4 linked regions of the Arabidopsis thaliana genome follow. The protein of the gene in region 1 interacts with the protein of each later gene in a pairwise test. Each region holds a gene or a part of one and is shown on either strand. Other genes may lie near its edges.

Region 1 (6,184 bases):
GGCGGTAGAATTTTAACATTGTGGTTAGCTTCACCATTAAATCTGTTAAAAGCGCTTCCTCACTCACTCTTCTTCCCCAAAAAAAAAACAAGACAGAGGAAGAGAATCACGAAACCATAGTCCCAAACCCTTCGAATCTATAAGCATTTCTCAAACACAATCAAGAAACTGTGTTTAGCTTTTAGATTTCTACAAGCATGTAAGACGAGATTTTGTTTCTTTTTTTTCTGCATGGTGGATCGAACGGTGAGAATGGGGACGGAGGTGAAGTCGATTAGGGTTCCAAGAAGGGTCTGGTTTGGATCACAAATATCTATAGTTCTCCTCGTGGGTGGAAACCATACCTCCTCCAGGTTTTGTACTCGCTAGATTCTTCGATTTTCTCTTTGCGATTCTTCTTTGTTCTTAAGATCTGTTTAGCAAATCGTACTAGACATTAATCATATTTTAAGATTCCATCGGAGCTGAAGTATTTGAAGAAATCAATGGGTATAAAGATCTTGAAGCTTAATATCTTCCGTGGATCTACGAATAGGCATGCTCTGTTTCGTGCTCTCATCATCGCCTCTGCTCTATCTGTTGTCCCTTTGTTGGAGTTAACCGCTAAAAATCACGTCTTTGGTGATCATGGAGCAGTGGATTTGGTCGATCTCGGCCGATTTGTTATTCCAGGACCGAAATTGTTCTTCCATAAGCTCGTTCAACCATTCTGGGGTAAAATTGAGACAGAGAAGTATCCACAAGTGGTAATTGCTGATCTCGTTGATGAGCTCATGGGGTTAAAGCTATTGCATTATGATGCTAAGATTCTCTGCATTGGTCAGGGATCGGATTCTGCTGTTTCAGGGTTCAAAGAGATGGGTTTCTCAGTTGTTCAAGGGGTTCCTAAGCATCCATTGTTTTCCTTTTTCAGTAGGAAGCATGTCAACGAGCTTGAGCTTAGTGGTGACAAGTCTTTTGATTTCGTGCTCTGTGGGGATGTTGATCATGTTGCTTCCCCTGCTCTTCTTGTGCTTGAGATGGAGCGGGTTCTGAAGCCTGGTGGAACCGGAGCAGTCCTTGTGAGTACTAATGCCAATCGTCTTGTCAAATCCGTGACTTCGGGGCTTAAGCAGTCTGAGATAGTGCGTGTGAACAACTTGGATAAGTTCACCGTCATTGTATTCAAGAGGAATGTAACGGAGACTGCTTATTGTATTGGAAAGTCTCAGCTACCAAGAGATTGCAAATCTGTTGACACCAATAGACCTTACACAGAGTTCATGGAACCTCTACTGGAGCAAAAGCCTGCTGATTTCCCAAAATCAGTAGCTTACTTACCTAAATTCCTTGATCTCTCTCTGAAAAAGAGCCTTGTCTACATTGACATTGGAGCAGCCGAGCACATGGATGCTAATTTAACTCCAAACTGGTTCTTTCCGTTATACCCACTCGACAGCAAAGCATTCAATGTCTACTTTGTCGACCACAACACTTCAGTAATGCTATCCTATGTCAAGAAACCCGGCGTCACCTTTGTTTACCATCCGGATTTGGCTGAGAACAACTCGACAGGGAAAAAGATAACTCCGCTTGAACAGCTAGAACCATTTCCAGAAGATGAGAGATTCGATTTCCTTGCTTGGTTTGAGGAAACTGCGAAATACGCAGACTTTGTAGTCCTTAAGATGAACACAAACCAAGTGGAAATGAAGTTCCTAACTGTTTTACTGGAAACAGGAGTCATATGCTACGTGGATGAGCTTTTCCTCCGCTGTTCCAACCACAAGTCAGACTGCATCAACATGCTTCAAACTCTGAGAGCCAGAGGTGTGTTTGTTCATCAATGGTGGGAAGACTAAACCAATGTAAAACTCAATCTCGCTTCGCCTTAGTCTTATCTACGTCGATTCGTGTCTGTCTTTGTCTCAGTTGTAATGCCATCACCTTCTGTGTTTGCCATAGTTGGTCCTCGGCCACCACAGCTCCTGGCCAAGCACCTATAACTAAATAAGAAGCTGCCTATCTGTTTATCATTGCTATTTAAGAACTCAGTTTCCACTTATAATATATTGAACCATAACGTTTTACGTCTTAATTAAGCATGGCATATATTACACAAGTCGATTGCTTAACTAAATTTGTTCATTCTCCATCTCCATTTCATCCGTTCTTGTTAATCTCCAAAAGCATCTCAACAGGTTGTCTGCAAACTGGGCACAGATTTGTCTGAAACCTTAACGCCTTTGCGCACCCGCTACACATACACTGCCAAACAGAAATACACAAACCATTTCAAAAGAAGTTCAATTTTTTTTTTATATGAGCTAATTTTAAGTATGATGAACACTATACCATGTGTCTGCAAGGAAGAACAGTTGTATCGCGTGGTTCAGACAAGCATACAACACATTCCTTTCCCTCATCGGAACCATCAACCGTGTTCTCAATCCCATAAATCTCAAGCAGCTCATACCTCCTCTTATTCACCCATAGTATCTGCTTCACCACTTCTATTTTAATCTCTCCTTTCTCCTTGGTATACACCACTTGAGTAATCTGCACATTGGTGGAACCAGACTTTCCTTCTTCCGCTGGAGTTGCCTCCGCCTTAACCGCCAACGGGAAGACATCTGTATCCACCTCCTTGAATAGCTCGGAATCTTTAAACGCCGTCAAGTCTATACCCGTTCCAGATGATTGTATGAACTTCTGACCAAGTCCTTCTCCGAAATCAAAAGTGATTGGAGGCAAAGTATCTTCCTTTGTAGCTCTAAGATTACATTCTGCATCTTCTGTAGCAAAGAAAACAACTGTGATCCTGTTCTCGCCAACCAAAACAACAAAAGCTAAGTCATTTATATTACTCCATTGATTGATTCAAACAAGATTCAAACTTTTAACTAAATTTGATCATTTCATAGTTTGAAAGTAAAACCTTCCGGGCATGGATGCATCAAATGTGAAGGAGACAAGAAGTCGATTCGGATTCTCCGGGTCGGGTATGAGCGTTAAAGTCTTCTTCTTCAGATTAACATCGTTACGAATCGTGACGGCTTTCTGGTGGACGTACGTAGGAGGCGGCAGTATAGGGTATCTACCGCCGTGAAACAAAGGATGAGGTAGTTGGTAACTGTTGGGAGGATAGTGATGCAAATGGTTGAAATTGTACGGTAGCATCGGCGGCTCAGTTACTGGCGGAGGAAGGCAGTTACCTGGATACTGGTCAACGTAGTTAGGGTTAGGGTTCAGATATGGTGGCACGGCGGCGAATACAAATCTGTTCGGTGGGAGTTCAAGAGGAGCCGTTTCCATCGCCGGAGGAATATTGCTCCTCTGCCTTCTCCCGCAGCAGAAGATCAAACTGATCAGATTCCCCATGATCGGAAAAAGAAAAAAGGTGAGGTTTTTCGGTGATTCAGTTGATAAGGAGTAGAATCGAAGTAGGTTTTATGATCATTGAGAAAGGGGAGTAATGAGATTGGAGATAGCGACGTCGACGAAGAAACACCAAAACGTTTATTTGTATATATTATAAATTAGTATTAAACTTGATTAATTACCATGGGAAATTGATTATTACTTTTAATCACATAAAACAAAGAAATCATTATCAGTAGCACTAGGCAGGCAATAGGCCCAAGGCCTCACAACAATATCACGGTTACAAAATAAGAAGAAACGAAATGACAAAACCGGAGACACGAGATTGGTTTTGGAGGTTGATCGGAAAACAAAGAAACACATCCATTAATACCGGCGATTACAAGAAGCACTGCTCGTCATTAAGAAACATCTTGCACTGATCGTCATTAAGAAACATCTTCTCTTATGTCTGATTATATAGGAGATCATAATAACGTCGATAAAAAAGAGTTTAAAGTGGAAATCAACCAAGAAATAGAAAGCACTATCAAGATATATTTCAAAATGAATATTTCATTAAAATGGATTAAAAAATAATTAAACACTCGAGTTTTGATCTTGTCTTGTTAAAATTTTACTCATCGTGTTCCTCATAAATTGTCCCCAGCGAAGGCGAAGCTGAAACCCTCATCGGATAAACAAGAATCGCCGGTACAGTTTCGAATGGTCCGATCATCCTAGCCATGATTTGTAAATATACTCTTTCTTCGATTTAGACTTCGGCAGCTTTCGACTGTGTTGAGAAGATCTATGTGGAAATTATTGTTATTGCTGATATTTATAGAGATAGAGAGGAATAGTAGTAGTGTAATTAACTAATCATCAAGTGATCTTTATATATTTGTATACTTTTTTATAGGACGCAGCTTAATACTTATCGCACGTGATATTTATGTTTCATATTTAGGTGATGCTCGAAAGTTGAAACATAAGTATGCGTACACTGCTTTAGTTTGCAGATAAATCATACATGTCTTTATTAAAAATTAATGTAAATTAGATTCTTTTGGTTGAGAAAATGATCGCACCAAACAGAAATAGCGGTGAGACTGGTTTCAGGTTTAAGTTTGGTTTGATATTTGAAGATACTGATTTTTTGTCGTGGACCGGTTATCGTCCCGGTTCGGTTAGAAAGTATATTAAGATTTGTCTTTAATTACCAACTCGTGAGCATATAACAACAGATCACCGAGCGTACAAGATGTGAAAGTTGAATGAAAATTTCACAAAGAACTGAGATTTGATTGTACAAAAGATACAATACAAAATCTCATCTTATACAGTTATAGAAAAAACAACAACAACAACAAGAGTCTATCTTAAACCCAAGACCGAGTAACAAAATGATCATTACAATTTACACGTCCTCGTTTTCTTGTTCTTGATTGTCTTCTTCGGTCTCTCCGCCTTCTAAAATCGTCTCAAGAATCGGAGAAACCGATGGCTTCGCCGGAGAAATGATTTGTGGAGGAACAGCCTCCATCCACCACGCCACATCCACCACCACCGTCAGATTCTGATCGCACCGATTATCAAAGAAACACATATTCGCTTCACTAGATATTATTTTAGATTTGCGGAAGTAATTCAAATTGTTACTTTTTGAGTTGAATTGATACGTGTTCATTTGTTCGTATTTATAGAGAGATTGACGCGTGGAGATATGTGGAACAATGATGGGTTTGACGTAAGAGTCGGACAAGTGGACGATCCACAATGTTTAAGTTAGTTTGTTGACTTGGTCTTATTTGCTAATAATAATGAAACCAACACGAATATTCTAGAACCTCTTGTTGTCGTCATTATCAACAAGTCTCGAATGTGCAACACGTGTGAGCTCTTGTCTCACACGTCTATATCTCCGCTAAGATTTTTTTTTGTTGTTGTCAATGTTAGGATATTTCTTTATGCGTCGTATATTGCAAAATACTAGACACACACTTAGGGTTTGAAGTTTCTCAGCAATTGTGTGGGTACGCTTTGGACAAATACACTACTCTACAAATTAGTTTAGACCGCGTTTGACTCGGTAACGTTAGAAGCAGATTAGACACTAATTAGGCCCAAGTTAAACTATCATGGGCTCATTCGTAAACTTAGTTCTAATGGGCTCTCAACATCAGATCTTAATATTTATAGAGAGCATGAGGTCAAATGCGTAGTTCCGTATATGAGAATTATGAAACTGAACCCATAAGCATTTTAATCACGCTGAGGAAAGTAGCCACTTCTCGTTTAACTAATACGGTAATACCTCATTCTGCCTGTTTTATTGATTTGTTTGGATATTTTGGTGCAATTCGATTAAAAATGTACCTAGAAAACAAAATTAAAATTGAGAAAATAAAAAACGTACCAATTGATAGAAAAAAAGATTATTGTACGCTGAAAAAGTAGAAAGAACTAGATAATTTTTAGTGATGACAAAAACGAAAATCTTCTTTGTGAACTTAAATCGCTGGAAAACATGCCATATGCAGAGTTAATCAAAACATTATTAGCAATCAATTGATATATGTATATATAAATATAAGATGCCTTAGCTTTTTCTTATATATATAATTAGGTTAATTAGAAAATAAGTCAATGGCCTGAAAAGGATTGGATAAGATAAGGATATTTGAAAGGTTGCTTTCATTCTTCTTGCAATTTCCCCCTTATTTTAGTTTTCTTAGCTTATAGAATTCATCCCTCATTTTCCGTCATTTGATATTATAACATAAGATGCATGAGGACGACAAAAATAGAAATAATAAGTGAATAGGTAGGTATACCATGT
Region 2 (5,666 bases), on another chromosome or scaffold:
GCCCAAAGACCCTATATTTTCTAGAGACGGGATCCACACCGAATTAAATTCATCTCCTTTAAAAAAGAAAACTAAAATAATTTAACATGTATAAATTATATAAACATAAAAGTCACTCCTAGCTTGACTAGGTCTGGATCATCCATGTGTGAGGTGAAAAAGTGGTCTTAAAGTACCACTAGACTAATGAAGTCAAAAAGAACAAACCCTAAAAATAAAAACATTGAAGTCCTAATGCTATATCAAAATTGATGTTAATAGGAATTATCAATTATGCTAGAGAAACTTACAACAACTAAAATCGCATATCCATATCAAGTGATGTTTTCACTCGGAAAAATTAACAAAATGTTCTTGTTTGATACAAGTAATTTTGTTTTCGCCATCCTTTATTTTTATTATTATTTTATTTGTACCTTTTGCTTATGCGGCACAAAGTTTGAGACAGTTGGGGAAATGAATGCAATGAAAGAAGAAGTATTGCTTTGGAACTTTCTTGCGGGAGACGCGGCTACTCGGCGCCTCTAAAGACAGCTCAGCAAATGACAAATAAGTCAAAACAGAATCATTGTCTTCGCTTTCATATTAAACTCTGTTTTTGACACGTGTCCCCTTTCTCTTATGCAGCTCTTTCGATTCAGAGAACAAACGTTTTCAATTAATTAGCTACTACTAATGGACAAATATTAGTTATATAATTTTTTCACCTTTGTTGAAATCAGTGGATTATCTAGCCTGTGGATTATAATTTCAGTGGACTAATTAGCGACGAAAATATAAATTTTAACAAACAAATATATTAAAACAGAAAAAAACATTTGTGGTGAATAAAATTAAAATTCTAAATGACATTCCATTTACGATAATTTAAAACGGAAAATAATATTTATATTACTACATATGTATGTGTGTAATTGAACTACGCAAATGAGTTTATTAGGATTTTTAATGATTTTTACAAAAAATTACTTAAGTGATCGTATATTAGTAGCTGGGAAAAAGACCCCAATATAAAAAAATAGAAATAAGTTGTAAAATGTTTTTGATTGAGGATTATACAAACCTTAAGTTTTAGACGTTTGTTTGGAGTGCACTTCACTTCAAAATACTTAATAACGTGAGAACAGAAGAAAATTTGGTCATGTAACAAGACTCTTGTTGATGGGATATTATCAAATTGAAAGTAAAGCAGGCAAATGGGGCAAGTAATCGAATTATCTTTTGATTTATACCATAATATGTGTTTCCAATTTTTGTTTAATGAAAAAAAGAATATGATTCCTTTTCTTGTGACAAGACTAACTCACGCACATATTTTCGAATATTACGAATGTAAGTTCATAGTTAATAGTAATACTATTTCCAGTTTATTCACTCGTTATATAACAAGTATAGTTAAACAAGTATAGTTAAAATTTGACGGTGAACTAGATGGAGTCTCAATTAATTTAAAATATCCAAGTTGATAGCAAATTCAGAACTATCCTATGGTAAATAAAATATATAAATGCAAGGAAAATATGAAAGTAACACAAATACATGGAGGAGACACAATTATAACAATTCATAATTAAAGTAACTAAACGAATCTCCTTACAAAATATAAAATGTGAGAATATATACGTAATACAAAAGGGTTAATGCATTACATTAGTTTCTGAAAATGTATATAAAATTACAGTTTGTGTACGGGATGAATCACGTTTCCATCGAAACATTGCAAGCTTTGAATTTATGATCAATAGTGTTATGATACTTTTTTTTTTTTTTTTGGGCAAACATAGTGTTATGATACTATGATTCATTTTTTTGTAGATCTTAGTGATGACATAAAATTGTAAGAATTTTAAGTACTATTATGTTATTCCGTTTTAGTTTACTCTATTACTGATTGGTATTAAAGCTGTATGAGAAAGGTTACCTATCACACTTTTGAGAATTACAAAAACTAAAAACGAGTTTTCCACCATTGGGGATAGGAAATTACAAGCAAACATTCATTAATCATAACCCAAAATTTTCTCTCAGTAAATTTTACATTTCCCGTGAAAACACGAAGGAAAATTCCCCAACAAAAAAAAAAAGACAAGACTGAGAGAAGAAAAGAAAACAAAAAAGCTCACTGACTCGTTGTTTCTTCATTTTCTTTGGCTTTCTCTCTGTCTCCCATTTTCTCCTCTCCAGCACCAATACCATCCTCCTTGAAAATTACCATTCTACCCTCGTGACCGCACATGCATTTGTTCGCCGCCGGCGTGGCCAGAAACCTCGGCAAGTCATCTCCGGCCATTATGACAAGAACCTTCTCCTCGCACGCCGCGCTAGCCGCCTTCACTCCAGACCGACTCTCTTTTTCCTCGTCGACTCTTTCGCCGGAGTCATCACCGGAGGTTGACAAGCGCCAGTAAGAGCAGGCTAGGATAAGTAAAGCGAAGGCTATGAGGCCTAACATCGCCGCAAGACCACCGAATAGGTACGGCACCGGTGAGTGCCACGGCGATATCGGCGGTCGGTGATTCCCAAATGATTCTACTGATGTGGCATGTCTAGCTACATCTAACGATGTTGGTTTAATGCTCAATGGCCTCATTTTTTTTATGTTTCTTCTGTTTCTCTCAGATTTTTTCTAACTATTTTGTTTTTTTTGTTTTTCTAACTTTATATAAAGGAAAAAGTGAAGAAAGCTGGAAAGATGAATGAAACAATGGGTGTGGTGAGGTGTTATATTTATAGGTAAGAAGTCCCTGGGGAAAAAGAAAGTGAGTCACTCCGAATATTTAATTATTTGAATTAAAGCAGCTTTTTTTTTCATTTGCCGTTTATTACTTTTTAGTTTTGCCGCATATATTTGCATGCAATATTATGTACTCAAACTTACTTTGTTATAGACACATATATATGTTAAGGTGCTTGTTTTTTTAAAGAAAGATAGCGAACATTAATTACACAAATTTAAACTAGACACGATAAATTAAATTTTAGTATCTTTAAGAAACTACACTAAAAAAAACTTGAAAAATGCCTACAAGAACTACCGCAGATTGGTTTAAAATTTTTGCTTAACGGTTGTTGAAAAATATATAAATGGTGATTTTTAAAATCAAAAAAAGGATATCAATCATAATATTTACCAATAAATTTGAAACCATATGAACTTTGACATCAATCAACTACACAAACTACAATAATTGGGTATTAGACTTATAAGTCTTATATCCAATAATATGTCAGTGATAGCATGATATCGAGAAAGTTTTTGGAAAGACAAGGGGTTTCCTCTTGATGACTCTAAGATACTTTAAGCCAAATAGATCAATTTAGATAGATGAATAGTTTGGTTTCTGGAAGTGACAGAGGAATGAGAGTGAGAGATGGATTCCAAGACCCCTTACTCTCAGTTCTAATTTATGGCACGATATCTATCTTCTTGTGAGGACACACTATGATGCCTAATGGGGATTTTATTTTTTTGGGATCCCGCAAATTGGGAATCCAACTTCTCTCTTTCTTTTTGGATGAAGAAATTTTCTATCTCTCAATTTTTCTATATCTAAAAGTATTATAAAGTCTATCACTTAATATTTGTCATGTTATAGGTTTTAAATGGTAACACATTCTCAAAGCGATATAACTTGTACTATTTTGAGAGTTATCATTCGCAAAAATTAACTTTATCAAAAACATTACAAAAAGTTTTACTCTTAACTTTACTGTACAGCTTTCTCGTATAATTCTTTTGTACAACTTTGCACTATTCCAAAAAAAGTTTTGGTTATAGCTAACAGCTAAAATTTTGTACAGTTTTGTGTTACCAATCGGACTTATATAAAATAAAATAATCTCGAGTAGTCCAAACACAATTTTCAACTTAACATATCACCAAACTTTGCTTGAATTCAATAATTCTCCTTTTTTTTTTGCAAAGTAAATTATTTAATGTTTTACAATAATAATGAATATTAAAATCTGCACCATAACACATGGCTTAAAAAAAATCATGACTTAATATCGGTAGAATATTGTTAGTCATTATTGTTTAGAAAAACATATTTAGGGCAATAAAGATTTGGAATTGTTAGTTATAAAAGACTAACAAATTCAAAAATTTATTACCCTAAATATATATTTTGAATTATTTTAATTATTACAAATAAATTGATTTGATATTAAAATATATATGTTTTTGATTAATTGTTATTAATTTAAGAAAGTTAATTTAGTAATTTTACATATTAAAAATATATTTTTAAAAGAAAAATAAAGAAAAAAAATTTCAAAAGTGCAAATAAAAGTCATATGTGGGATTTTTTTTTTTTTTTTTTTCCAATTGTTACTATCACACCAACTACCGTGCACCAGGTGCACTACCTCAATAATCCATAAAGCTGTCATCATATTAAAATGTAGTGATCAGGTGCAAATTTGTGCCCCAAATGTTATAAACTTTTTCTTTTCTTTTTGTTAAAAGAATTAAGTTTATATTTTTTCACAGGTTCCATTTTAAAGGACCATGTCTGTTTTTCAAACTAAATTCTTACAAATATATAAGAAAGCATATTTTGGAATCATCTATGTATTCACATTGCGAACTAAAGAAGAGAAAAACTTAATACTTATTTTCTGTTACCCTTGAAACATAGGCGTTTATACCATTAAAATGGCAGAAAAATTATATCGACTAATGAAATTAAACTAGTTAAATGAAGTCCAGTTAACTAATCGAAGTTACCGAACATAAAGGGTTCTTATTTTTGTCAAAAACATAAAGAGTTCAAACCTTCAAATTTATAGCGTAGTTTTCTCTCGGTCCATTTTTTAGTCAAGAAAACTTTTGATCCAACTACAAAAATTTACTTTTAAAGAAATTATTTATCGAAAACATTAACTCAGTAATAAACAAGTTTATCTTAAGTCTTTGTAAAAAATGCATACAGAATATCTATAGCGTAGTTTACTCTCAGTCTATCTCTAGTCAACAAAACTTTTGATCGATCAGTTCCAAATATTCACTTTTGAACGAATCATTTATCCAAAAACATTAACTCAGTAAATAAACTAGTTTAACTCAAGTCTTTCTAAAAAATGCTTTAAAATGCATATCAGTGTTCGAAGTAGTTTAATATATATGTTGACAAAAGATGAAGAGCAGTTTAATTTTATACAATATATATTTTTAAGAATTTTTACCTTTTCCCGCAAAATCTGTGATGATTATAGAGGCCCACAAAGATATTAGTGCGACATAAGGCACAGTGAAAGAGCACATTTGCTTTGGTGGTAAATGACAATGTTTGCACAATTATAAGAGAGACAGAAATGATTGGGAAAGGACGAGAGGGAATGAGCATTGTGGGGTAAAGTCCCAACAAACCTCTTTGTGCATCTTGTCTTCATTTTCCATTTTCTCGATTGGTGCATTGATGTGATCTAAATGCTTATCTTTCTCCTCTGGTATTCGGTGATTTCGTTTTCGCATCATATGATATGGATAACATTAATAAATATCTTGTGTTGTTTGTATGCTTCGACTGTTTATGCATAATCTTTTGAAGAACATTTTATTTCTATTGAAAGATGCATCATTGCCAAAATTTTACATGGTTTCCATTGTTTGTTTGTGTTAGCGCTTCCATTTACATTTAACTTTATATATACTTTTATATAAT
Region 3 (5,444 bases), on another chromosome or scaffold:
TGGTGGACAACGATGATGGAAATGCTCCACTTCTTATCCGGATGGCTACAGATTCTGATGACTTGAAATTCATGTAAATGCTCTAGCTTCTGGGTGTTTTCATTGGTGACTTGCAGATTGATATGCTCATCATCTCTTCTTATGACCTCAACAGATCAGCTTTAAATGCTTTCAAGCGTCGTGTGGCATATGCAAACGTGAATTTTGATTGTATCCTTCCCTGAAAAAAACATGTTTTTAAAGAGACTGTCAATGGTTTTTGATTATTTCTATCATTTACAAGAGTTTGCCTTAACTAATGAGAAAGCTATGGTTGGATGGAGGACATCTTCAATTCGCCGTCCAAATGAACTCCCAAAGGTATGTCTTTACTTATTATATTTTGTGCACATCTTTAATGACGTTGTGGGATTTATCAATAACTATTATCCCTGCTCATCTTCCAGCCAAATCTTCTAGCAACGGATCCAAACTATCCACACATTGTATACGTAGAACGTGGAAATGTGGACAATGGTAGTTGCCAGTCAACTTCTACAGTAGTAACAGAGCAAGATACTGATCTTGAAGGTTTTGCTTTATTTCTCACTTGACTATTTGTTTTTCAAAATTTGCTAGAAAAAATGATATCTCTATCAGATTTATGGAATGTGGTAGATCCTTGCCTCGCTATCTATTACCCATTGGTCTTCTTTATAACAAGTAGAATCACTAACTTCGTCCTGTTATGGTTTTTGTGAAATGTAGAGGAAATGATACATGGACTCAGTCAACTATCTTGGGAAAGAGTAGATGTCAGCTTTCACAATAGCAAGCAACGATACGTCGCGCATAGTACCATCCAGGCAAGTTTAATGATAAGAACTCAAAACTCAAAAGCGATTTTGTTAAGAGCATTTGACATAATTTTCCCTGTAATGTGTAGGTGAAAACATATTGGTTACATTCTGATGGCAAAGATGTTGTCTTCCACATGATGGATCATTTCGGTCTCTAGCCCTAAACATTTTCAACCGCTGCAATTAGTCAGCACTGTAAGAAGGCGATAAGCATCACAAACTTCTTCTCTTTTTTGTTGGTTATTTATATCGTATTTAGTATGATGCTTGATGCGATACAAATCGTGGTAAAGTTCTTGGCACTTTTTCCTTGATGGTTATTTAAAATGTTTTATAGTTCTGTCGAACAATGAATCTGTACAGATCTACCCGTTCTTTGTAAAAAAAAAAGGTTCATACTTCTCTTGTCACTATCGATTCTATAAGTTTTTGTTTTGATCATAAGACTTGGCGCCAGTTGAATGTCGATTTTTCCACAATTATTGTTGGTTTTCCAGTTTTATTGGCATCATTTGCGAGCTCGTTTGTTTTGACACGTTCACATAATAAACATAGTAGGAATTGGACAAGAAAACGAAAGGACGTAAACACATGACACAACCAGTGACCAATTGCCCATACTAGAAAAACAATTATTCAGTTAGTTGCAGTAGTCTCCATCCATTATATGTGTCACTGTTCACATTGTACTGATCATCCAAAAGACGACAATTTATTGTCCAACGATAAACGATAATGCTTTCAATTTCAGTGAATGGTAAACAATGATAAATGGATATGCCTGGAAAAGAAAAAAAGAGAGAAATGTATAGTTGAGAGGCTATTTGTTCTTTGATAAAACTTGATGATATTTAGTAATATATCTAGAAATTTAGGAATAAAGGTACAAAGAGAATAATTCTCAACTTCGGTTCGCCACAACGAATTAGCTTAATATTCGGCATGCGTCATTGTTGGCACATCACTAGAAGTTTTCACAACACATCTCTTTCCCTCTTTCGTAAGCATCATGTCTGTACATCTCTCACTGGGAAAACATTTTTGTCTCTCTATACACGAAAACTGAATTAAGGACGCACGATTTTAGTTGTATCTTTTATTTATTTTGTCTGTCAAGCTTCAGTTCTATCTTTAATCGCTAGTCCAAAACAATCATCTATTCAAACTCTTAAAATTTACATGTACCGGATATTCCTTCATGAACCATAAACGGGAAAAATTTGAAGAAAACTGAGACAACCAAAAAAAAACTAAAACCATACGAAATAAATAAAACTCTAATTTATATCCCATCAGCTCACGTAAGGTTGGCGTAATTATGAACCGACACAAAAAGACCGGACGGATCGATTCCGGAGTACTCCGTAACGAATGCTCTGTTTTCAAAATATGAGGGAGGGCTCACCGTAACCTCCGGTGCTCTGCTATACCACCTGATCACTACCCTCTTCTTCCTTCTTCTTCGTTATGATCGCCGCAAGTACAGCTTTGCTCAGACCGAGTCGCTGGCGTAGCCAAGTAAGTAGGTCTGACATCACCGGCCATTATGACGAGAAACTTCTCCGGCATTTCTGTGTGCTTAGTTTTGTTGGTGTCATTGTCGGGTTTGGCATCATCTCCGGCCTCAAGATCTCTCTCAGCGGAGCCGGAGAGTCTCCAGTAGGAACATGCGAGGATGAGAAGAGCGACGCAGATGAGAGCCAACATGGCGGCCAAACCACCGAAGAGATAAGGAACCGGAGAGTGCCAAGGCGAGTGAGGCACCACCATGGAGGAGCTCGCGTTTATGCTGTCTTGGTAATTATATTGTCGTCCTTCCATTGTCTGCATGTGTGTTTTACTGTTTGGGAAGAGTGAATGAAATGAAAGTTTTCTTTGTTAAAAAAGTAATTAATTTATTGGTGGGAGATGAGATTGTGTTGTGAGAGGCGTTTTATAGAGGAACGTATGGGATGGATTGTTTCTTAATGCAATGGATTTGTGTATGGTTCAGTTTTCAGTATTTTTTTGGAATGTATGAAAAAAGTCAGTATTCATTATTTGTACTTTGTAGAGTGAGTATTAACGAAATTATTTTTTAGGGAATCATCTTCCATAATGGAGTAAACAATTGATTGGTTTTTGATATAGAGATGTAGTTTTTTTTTGCATTTATACTTACATGAATAATTTTTTAATCAACCTCAAAAATGATATTAGTTTAACGTGGTGGCTCAATGAAGACATTTGTAAAATCATGTATATTTCCTTCTTTTGGATGTTAATTTGAACTTGTATTAAGTTGGTTTTCTTATTTTTTTCATAATTGTTTTGTTTAATATATCCGTCTTTAGTACTTTAATAAAGTTTAAATTTTTATTGGTGGCTTTTAATTAATAGTATCTTTTAAATGCAATAATGGATAGAGGTTAATTAAAGTTAAGAATTATTTAATAATCTTGTTACGGCAATTTGCACATTAACCTAACTGTTGAACTAACTAACCTCTTTGTTTTGGCTAATCAGTTTTTATTACTTTGCTTAATTAGGTTAAACTCAAGATTTAATATCATTTAGGAGTTTCAACTCAAAACTATTTTCAATGCCATTTATACACTATATATGGAGTTCTTAACAATATGTATAAAACTGTAAGAACTATATACAGTAAAGGGTATTTAAAAAACTTCTGGTTAGATAAAGTAATAGAGCGAGTAGTGCAATTGGAGGGGTAGGTTCTCAGCGTCAGCTTCCACCATGACTAAAGGAAAAACGGATATTCCATTAGTTTCCAATCACTTTCACTTACGTTCTCCATTTCCACATTCTTCCTCTTCCATTTTCTTTAATTTCTTCATTCGTACTTTAAGATCATTGTTTAATGTGTCCACTAGTATTACAGTAAGCAATAATATATCATTACGTCAACTAAAAGGAATTTCTAAGGCAGAACCTTTTTTAAAGCATCCAAACCCCCAAACAATGTTATGTGCGGTTAATATGCCAACACAATCACTAGTCGCTTACATTAATCTTTGGAGATAAGTTTTACTTTTAAATCCCCTCACTGTGTATATATTAGTTTTAAATTATTATGTGTGTGGGCTGTATAATTTATTCCCTGATCCGACTTAAATTCCGGATTTGATTTGTGTTTGTGCATGAATCATAGGGAATCATATTCTCGTTAAATAGGCACGTTACATGTGAAGATAATGTATAAAATAAATACATATACCTAGGAACCCATTATTTAGTTTCTCGAACAAACAGATTAAGTACGATAATTAAATATTGGAGTTCTATTCTTCTTCCTTTCCGGTAATTATTCTGCCAGACCAATTAGAATCGGTATGTTGATTGTTGAAAAGATTGATTGATGGGTGCTTCATTTTGTGCTTGGTTAACAATCAGAATACTTGCCCTCTTTACTTTTATTTCTTTTGAAATTTCCTAAGAAATCGTTTTCGGTGTTGAAAGAATTAACAAAGGTTCCAAATATCTCAACTTCTCAAGTCAGAGATTAGCTTTCATGTAGTTTTTCAAATTGTGTTTATTTCTTCATCTAATTACTTTTAAAGGTGGCTCGTTCAGTTTTTTTCAGAACTTATCTCCGTACATTCTAAAACTCATTTTTAGTTATCAAGATATTTTTCTTTCTCTTTAGATACGGATTAGTGAACTTGAGATAGGTATATCTAATTTAAATAGACAGCTTTATAGAGCTATGATGACACTTTTAAAAACTGATAGATATGCAACAAATATCATTATTGCATGCCTCACAGTTCACACATGTTATTTGAAGTTTGAACATTAAGTCATAAACAACAGTTTAATTACAATAAAATAATCAACATTTGCTAGCAAGAAAAAGAGAAGATATGGTAATAAAAATAAGGTTTATTGAAAGAAAAGATGAGAAAAGGAGATGAAAGTACAATAATTGTATATATCGTCAACCATGGCGACATGATCATATACATACATGTTTAAAATAATTTTGGAAAGTGTAAAAGCAAGTGTCTAAGGAAGTGTTATGCACTAATAGAAGTATAGGACGGTATCTAGTGAGAAGAAACAAAGAGTAAAGATACAAAAAAAACAGAGTGATTAACATTTCCTACATATATTCTATAGTTTTTTTTTTGGAATATGTTGTAACAGTTATGACATGATTCATGTGGAAGCTGCTACAAAAAAGTGGAGGAACGAGAGGGAATAGTAATAAAGCAGAAAGGGGTGTTTCTTTGAGAGAGTACATTTGTGAACGAGGACCAGCCTTTGTGGGACCTAAGAGTGGAGGGTGGTTCAGCTTTTAGCCGAGACGTCCTCATCGCCCAGCACCCTGGTCTGGTCCATCCTCCTCCACTGTCGCCTGTCGGCCTTCATTACTCTTTAACTTACCCACACACATTCTTTTCACTTTTCAGTTTTGGGTCTGTTCTTGCAGTTATGATATATACGGCATGGTATATTTATCTTGTGACATTGCAAGTTGCTTTTCACACATTTTTTTCAATATTGATCCACATTCAAATGGGCTTATTTCTGATTTCCTAATGTCAATTTTCTTCTGTTTAGCCCTGCACTCTGTTCTTGTTTTTGTACCCGTTAAGGGGCTTT
Region 4 (5,172 bases), on another chromosome or scaffold:
ATGAGAATTTTGAATTATATATTTTTAGATTGATTTGAATTATATATCTTTTAAATTAAAATATTATTAAAAGAAAAATAACAAAATAATGTTTAATTTCATTGAACGGGGGTTAAATGGTATGACAGGTTTGGGTCGATAGTAATACGAGAGAATATACTACAGGTGAAATTAATTAGATTGTTTAATTTCACTGAACGAGATTAGATGGTAGGACGGGTTTGAGTGAATAGTAATACGAGACGGTATATCACAGGTAAAATTTTAGATATAACAATCAAAATAAAATTATATTATCTTAAACCCTAAACAAAATAAAGAATATCAAAAAATAAAATAATTTAAATTTAAATTATTTTTATAATTTAGATTTTAACTTAATAAACAGTATGTTATTATTCTAATATTTTTAAACAGTAAAAATCAAACATAGCAATTTTATAGTAAAAATATATATAAATATAAAAATTGTATATTTAGATAATATAAAACATAAATTATATTTATTTTTAATTTATTAAACAAATTAAATATTTTATTTTAAAATCTAGTATATATGCATAAGCGCACAAATAAAGTGATCACACGAGAAAAGATGGCGACCACTTGAGAGCCACATAGTCCAAAAGTAAAAGATCACACTTTGGACCGTCCAATTCTTTGCGTTTTCAAGCCGCGGCGTCCACCAATAGCTGCCAATCAATGTGAAAGTTATCATTATGTGAATGAAATTAGAAAAGCCCACATTAAAATTTTACATACTTTTATCATTATTAATGCACATTACTTCTACTATTAATTAGAGTATACTAGTATTGTTGTTGTGAATTATTTATCATGTTCAAACCCTAAATATTGTTAATAATAATTTTTTCAATCGGTACATTAATTCCATAGTGATATTGATGACGTTTCAATATAATCATTCTACGATGAGTTAAAAATTTTTATCAAAGATTTGCAATTTCCGAACCCAAAGTATGCTCATCTACTTAGCTTTCTTTACAAACTGTTCAGACTTGGTGAAGATGGTGTCTTCTCCAACCGAATGGCCGGCGTTTTCAGTGTATTTGGAGGAGTTGCAAAGTGATAGGGAAGAATTCACAAATTTCTCTTTATCTTTAATTTCTCGTAGTGCAAATGTAAAAGCGGATAAGTTGGCACGAAAGATTCGTACCGTACCGCATCATGTCACGTATGTAAACAATATCCCTCGAGATTGACTCTTTTGAGTTCTAATTTATATCGGTTGACAAAAAAAAAAAAAAGTATGCTCATCTACTTTGTAAGTAAAGATCTAAAAATGATGTTTGAAAAATAAAATTCGTATGACAAATTAATATATCTTTAAATTTAAACATTGTACTAAAAAAAGAGAACAATAATTCATAAGCTGTTCCAAAAACAAACTCAACAAACAAAAGCAATAACACAAAACTTAATCTATACTAACATTGCCACAAAAATTATCGACTGTTACAAAATTGCCGCTGATTATTACAAAAGTCGAAATCTCTTAATCTTTCTGTCGGCAAAAGAAGAAAAAGATGTTAATGGTTAGGTTGAGATGACAGTAACATTGTCACAGTTACAACGAAAAATGGAAGTGGGTGGAGGAACCACGACCGGAACAGCCAAGCAAGTAGGTTTATTGTCTCCGGCCAAAATCACCACGATCTTAGGTAAGTACTCTCTTGTAATAGGCTTAGCGTCCTTGTCACCGACATCGTCTTCTTCATCCATATGATTGTTATTGCTAGAGGAAGAAGGTTTTTGGTGTGTGCAGACCAATGAGAGTAATGCCAAAGCTATAAGCAAAACAAGCAAAAAGAGACCACCAAAGAGATATGGTACTGGTGACTTCCAGATTTCTACTTTTGGTGTCGGCCTCATTATGATTTTTAGTAGTCTCTTTTTTCTTGTGTTGTAAGTGCAGCTATGGAATTTTAGTTATGGGCATTAAGGAATTTATAGTAGAAGGTTTGTACAAAATTGATATATAATTTTTAAATTAATTGATCACTAAGAAGTGTAGGCGTATTTTAGTTTAAAGTGAAGTAGGAAGATTCCTTGTGCGTTCAGATATTCTTTTCTTTTATTAACTATATCTGTTGTTGTTTATTGTTCATGTGTCATGTCATGACGACATTACATTAGTTCTTCTTACTTATTTTTTCCGACACTTGGAAATGGAAACAATGGTGTGCATGAACCAAGATATAAAAACGGTATACATGCATGCAAATGTTATTTTTTCGTTATTATAAATTAACATAAATATGTGAAAGTTCATTTAGGTATATATGAATGTTTTGAGTTTAAAACATTATGAAAAATAATTATTTCCAATATCTTAAAGTAAAGCTTAGCATTAGTTCTAAATATATAAAAAAAACTTGTAAATGTTAAAGGTATTTAGCGAAAAAAACATTATTACTTCTACACTATTTAGTTGTAGTGCCAAAAAATAAAATTAGATAATAAAGTATCTTTATCAAAAAAGAATTTCCAAAAAAACTTTCCCGCCAAAATGTTTTCGGGGAAATTTTTTTTGTCAAACTTTTTCCACCAAAAAAAAAAAATTCATGATTTACAAAATTAGGAAAGATTCTAAGCAATTAAGGAAGGTTTTCACAATATTCATAATTTTTATTTTTGTGTAGCCTTTTCTGAATTTTCTAAAATCTTTCCTGAATTTTGTAGAATCTTTCCTAAATTTTGTGAAATCCTTCCCGAATTTCGTAGTTACCTTCCTAAATTTTTTGGTGAGAAAATTTGACAATTTTTTTTTTGCGGGGGAAATATTTTCTTTTATTTATTTATTTTAATTAAATTAGTTATTTTATATTTAATATTTAATTAAAGTTAATAGTGCTCTTTGTGGAAGTTTTCAAAAGATATTCTATTTCTGAAAGAAAAACTTGTTCATTGCTATTTTTGTCAATTCCCCTAAAATATTTGATGTCTTTTTTATCTTAACGACTAATTTTAAAAAATAGATTTCTTAACTTTTTAAATTATGTGTAAAAATAAGTTTATATAACAGATGTTAGTCAACCGTTAATTCATATGATTCAACGGAACCAAACGACATTATGTTTGGTAGTTTGAGTAAAAACAGAAAACATGCAATGTCGTCTTTATAACTTTTGGGATTTAGGGACTTTGATTTCATTTAGTTATGTTCATTTTTTAAGCGGGACATAGAAGCATCGAGTAAATTTCATATTTGCTTTTGTCCACAAAAGGGAAGTCGTGAATGGGACTGTCATTTAATTTTTATTAAAAGTAGGGAAATGAACCAACCAAAAAATATATGTTCAATCGTTTTGTTAACCTTTGTCTCAAACCAAACGGTTTGGTTTGGTTTTGTTTGTTATACTATTACTTGTCACCCGAAAGTCTGAACCCAAATATGATATTGTTAACTCGATTAGTAAGACTGAAAAGCTTTGTAGACGTGGAAAGATGAACAAAGCTTAACTCGATTAGGGTTTTTGTAGTTTCAGCATGTATGCTGCAGCTGTCGGCTTCTCCAGAGCAGCTGGAGGAAGCTCCGGCGACAGAGGTTAAAGGCATACAAACTACATGGATTCAGGTAAGTCAGAAGGAGGATCTCAAAGAACATGGCCATCGATCTCAATGATCAAACTTCACAATGGAGGCATGCATCTAGCCAACGAGAATCTCCGTAGACTCAAAGGGTGGTGGGTCCAACAGTCAAAAAGTCATACGTTCAAGCAGCTCAAAAACATGTTTTTACTAAACAAAAGTTTGTGGTTGATGAAGTAGATGGTCAAGGGAGAGTTGTTGTCCCAAAAGAGGTTTTTGTAGGAGCTAAACCGTTATGGAAAGATTTTGTGATTGGCAAATTTCTCAATACAAAGGCTCCACATGTGGGTAACATTCACATGATTGTGAATAAAATATGGAGATTGGGAGACAAAACAAGTCTGATCGATGTTTTTGCAGTCAATGAAACGACAGTCAAGTTCTAGATTCGGAATGAGACTATGCGACAAAGAATTCACTACAGGAATTGTGAGTATCAATAGCACAGGAAAAACAATATTATAAGATATTATAGCGTTGTAGTAAACACTATGTATGCGCTTGTTATAGTAGGTCGAACACTTTATATAGCGGTTTGGGTTCTGCTATAAAAATTTCAACTAATATAGCGTTTTGTTGTGTGTTATTGTTAATTTTACAATAGCAATTACTATTTGCTATTAAATTGCGTAACTATAGCAGTACTTTAAATTTATAATAGCATTTAAATTATGTAATAATTGATAGTTTAAGGGTTGCTGAACAATAGCTTTCTTAGAGTATCCGTATAATTACTGTATTTAAGCGCTGGATATTGTATTTTAATACTGTAATTTATACTGTTTTTTATACCATATTTTATATTGTAATTTATACCGTATAATTACTGTATTTAGTCGTTGGATACTGTATTTAGAGTATCCATATAATTACTGTATTTTATGCCTTATTTTATACTATTTGGTGACTCTTTAACAAAAAAAAAGTATTTTACAAAGTATTTATATTGATATTAAGTCTAGTTGTAATGGGCATTAGAACAAAATAACCATTAAACAAGTTTACAGAGATATTAAATATTGGATACAATGGCCCTATAACTAATTTGTGATAAGGCCCAATATCAGTAGTTGTAGAACTGAAGCCCGACCCATGATATGACCCTCATTTTGAGCCTTGCGACACCTGATGTAGAAGTGTGAGGCAAAATGAACCTTTCAATGTCCATCAAATTCTGAATTGTTGAATTGTTTGGTTTGAAGCTTCTTTCAACGTAAATTTCCTGCTACAAAACGAAAGATTTAATCTCAGTAAACTAAAGAAAGTTAGTCGTTTGAATTACAAATAAGTTACTAATGGCTAATCGTTTACCTCTCTATTGGTCTTCATGAATCTAAGAACCAAACACCAACTGGTCGCTGAAATATAAGAATCATTCAATATACACAAAAGAAAATCAATGGTACTCGCATCTTATCAATATCACTCTGACGAATCGGAAATTATTTTTGAAAGGATGAAAAGAATATTACCTGTGGAGAAAATGAAGCATATAACACAACCCAGATCTTCTATAACCTGGAACAACAACAAGTATTAATCAGATTAAGAATAGACAAA

The links.
Region 2: the proteins of LUL1 (region 1) and GDU4 interact in a two-hybrid assay, tested with the Arabidopsis thaliana proteins (one study listed by BioGRID).
Region 3: the proteins of LUL1 (region 1) and GDU2 interact in a two-hybrid assay, tested with the Arabidopsis thaliana proteins (one study listed by BioGRID).
Region 4: the proteins of LUL1 (region 1) and GDU6 interact in a two-hybrid assay, tested with the Arabidopsis thaliana proteins (one study listed by BioGRID).

Annotation. Positions count from the first base shown.
Region 1 is NC_003076.8:758,308-764,491, forward strand, and holds LUL1 (RING/U-box superfamily protein), read right to left. Parts: upstream 3,534-6,184; 5' UTR 3,361-3,533; coding exon 2,918-3,360; intron 2,801-2,917; coding exon 2,335-2,800; intron 2,248-2,334; coding exon 2,143-2,247; 3' UTR 2,012-2,142; downstream 1-2,011. Other genes in the region: CPUORF47 (peptide upstream protein), read left to right, coding at 232-353, 536-1,841; AT5G03204 (uncharacterized protein), read right to left, coding at 3,980-4,090; DIP2 (E3 ubiquitin-protein ligase), read right to left, coding at 4,763-5,032. UniProt on the Arabidopsis thaliana protein: Acts as an E3 ubiquitin-protein ligase, or as part of E3 complex, which accepts ubiquitin from specific E2 ubiquitin-conjugating enzymes and then transfers it to substrates (in vitro).
Region 2 is NC_003071.7:10,556,403-10,562,068, reverse strand, and holds GDU4 (glutamine dumper 4), read right to left. Parts: upstream 2,897-5,666; 5' UTR 2,591-2,896; coding exon 2,120-2,590; 3' UTR 1,830-2,119; downstream 1-1,829. UniProt on the Arabidopsis thaliana protein: Probable subunit of an amino acid transporter involved in the regulation of the amino acid metabolism. Stimulates amino acid export by activating nonselective amino acid facilitators.
Region 3 is NC_003075.7:13,113,374-13,118,817, reverse strand, and holds GDU2 (glutamine dumper 2), read right to left. Parts: upstream 2,791-5,444; 5' UTR 2,670-2,790; coding exon 2,280-2,669; 3' UTR 1,863-2,279; downstream 1-1,862. Other genes in the region: AT4G25770 (alpha/beta-Hydrolases superfamily protein), read left to right, coding at 1-73, 155-210, 308-360, 447-570, 748-929. UniProt on the Arabidopsis thaliana protein: Probable subunit of an amino acid transporter involved in the regulation of the amino acid metabolism. Stimulates amino acid export by activating nonselective amino acid facilitators.
Region 4 is NC_003074.8:12,349,230-12,354,401, reverse strand, and holds GDU6 (glutamine dumper 6), read right to left. Parts: upstream 1,931-5,172; 5' UTR 1,894-1,930; coding exon 1,558-1,893; 3' UTR 1,369-1,557; downstream 1-1,368. Other genes in the region: QQS (qua-quine starch), read right to left, coding at 4,676-4,837, 4,924-4,941. UniProt on the Arabidopsis thaliana protein: Probable subunit of an amino acid transporter involved in the regulation of the amino acid metabolism. Stimulates amino acid export by activating nonselective amino acid facilitators.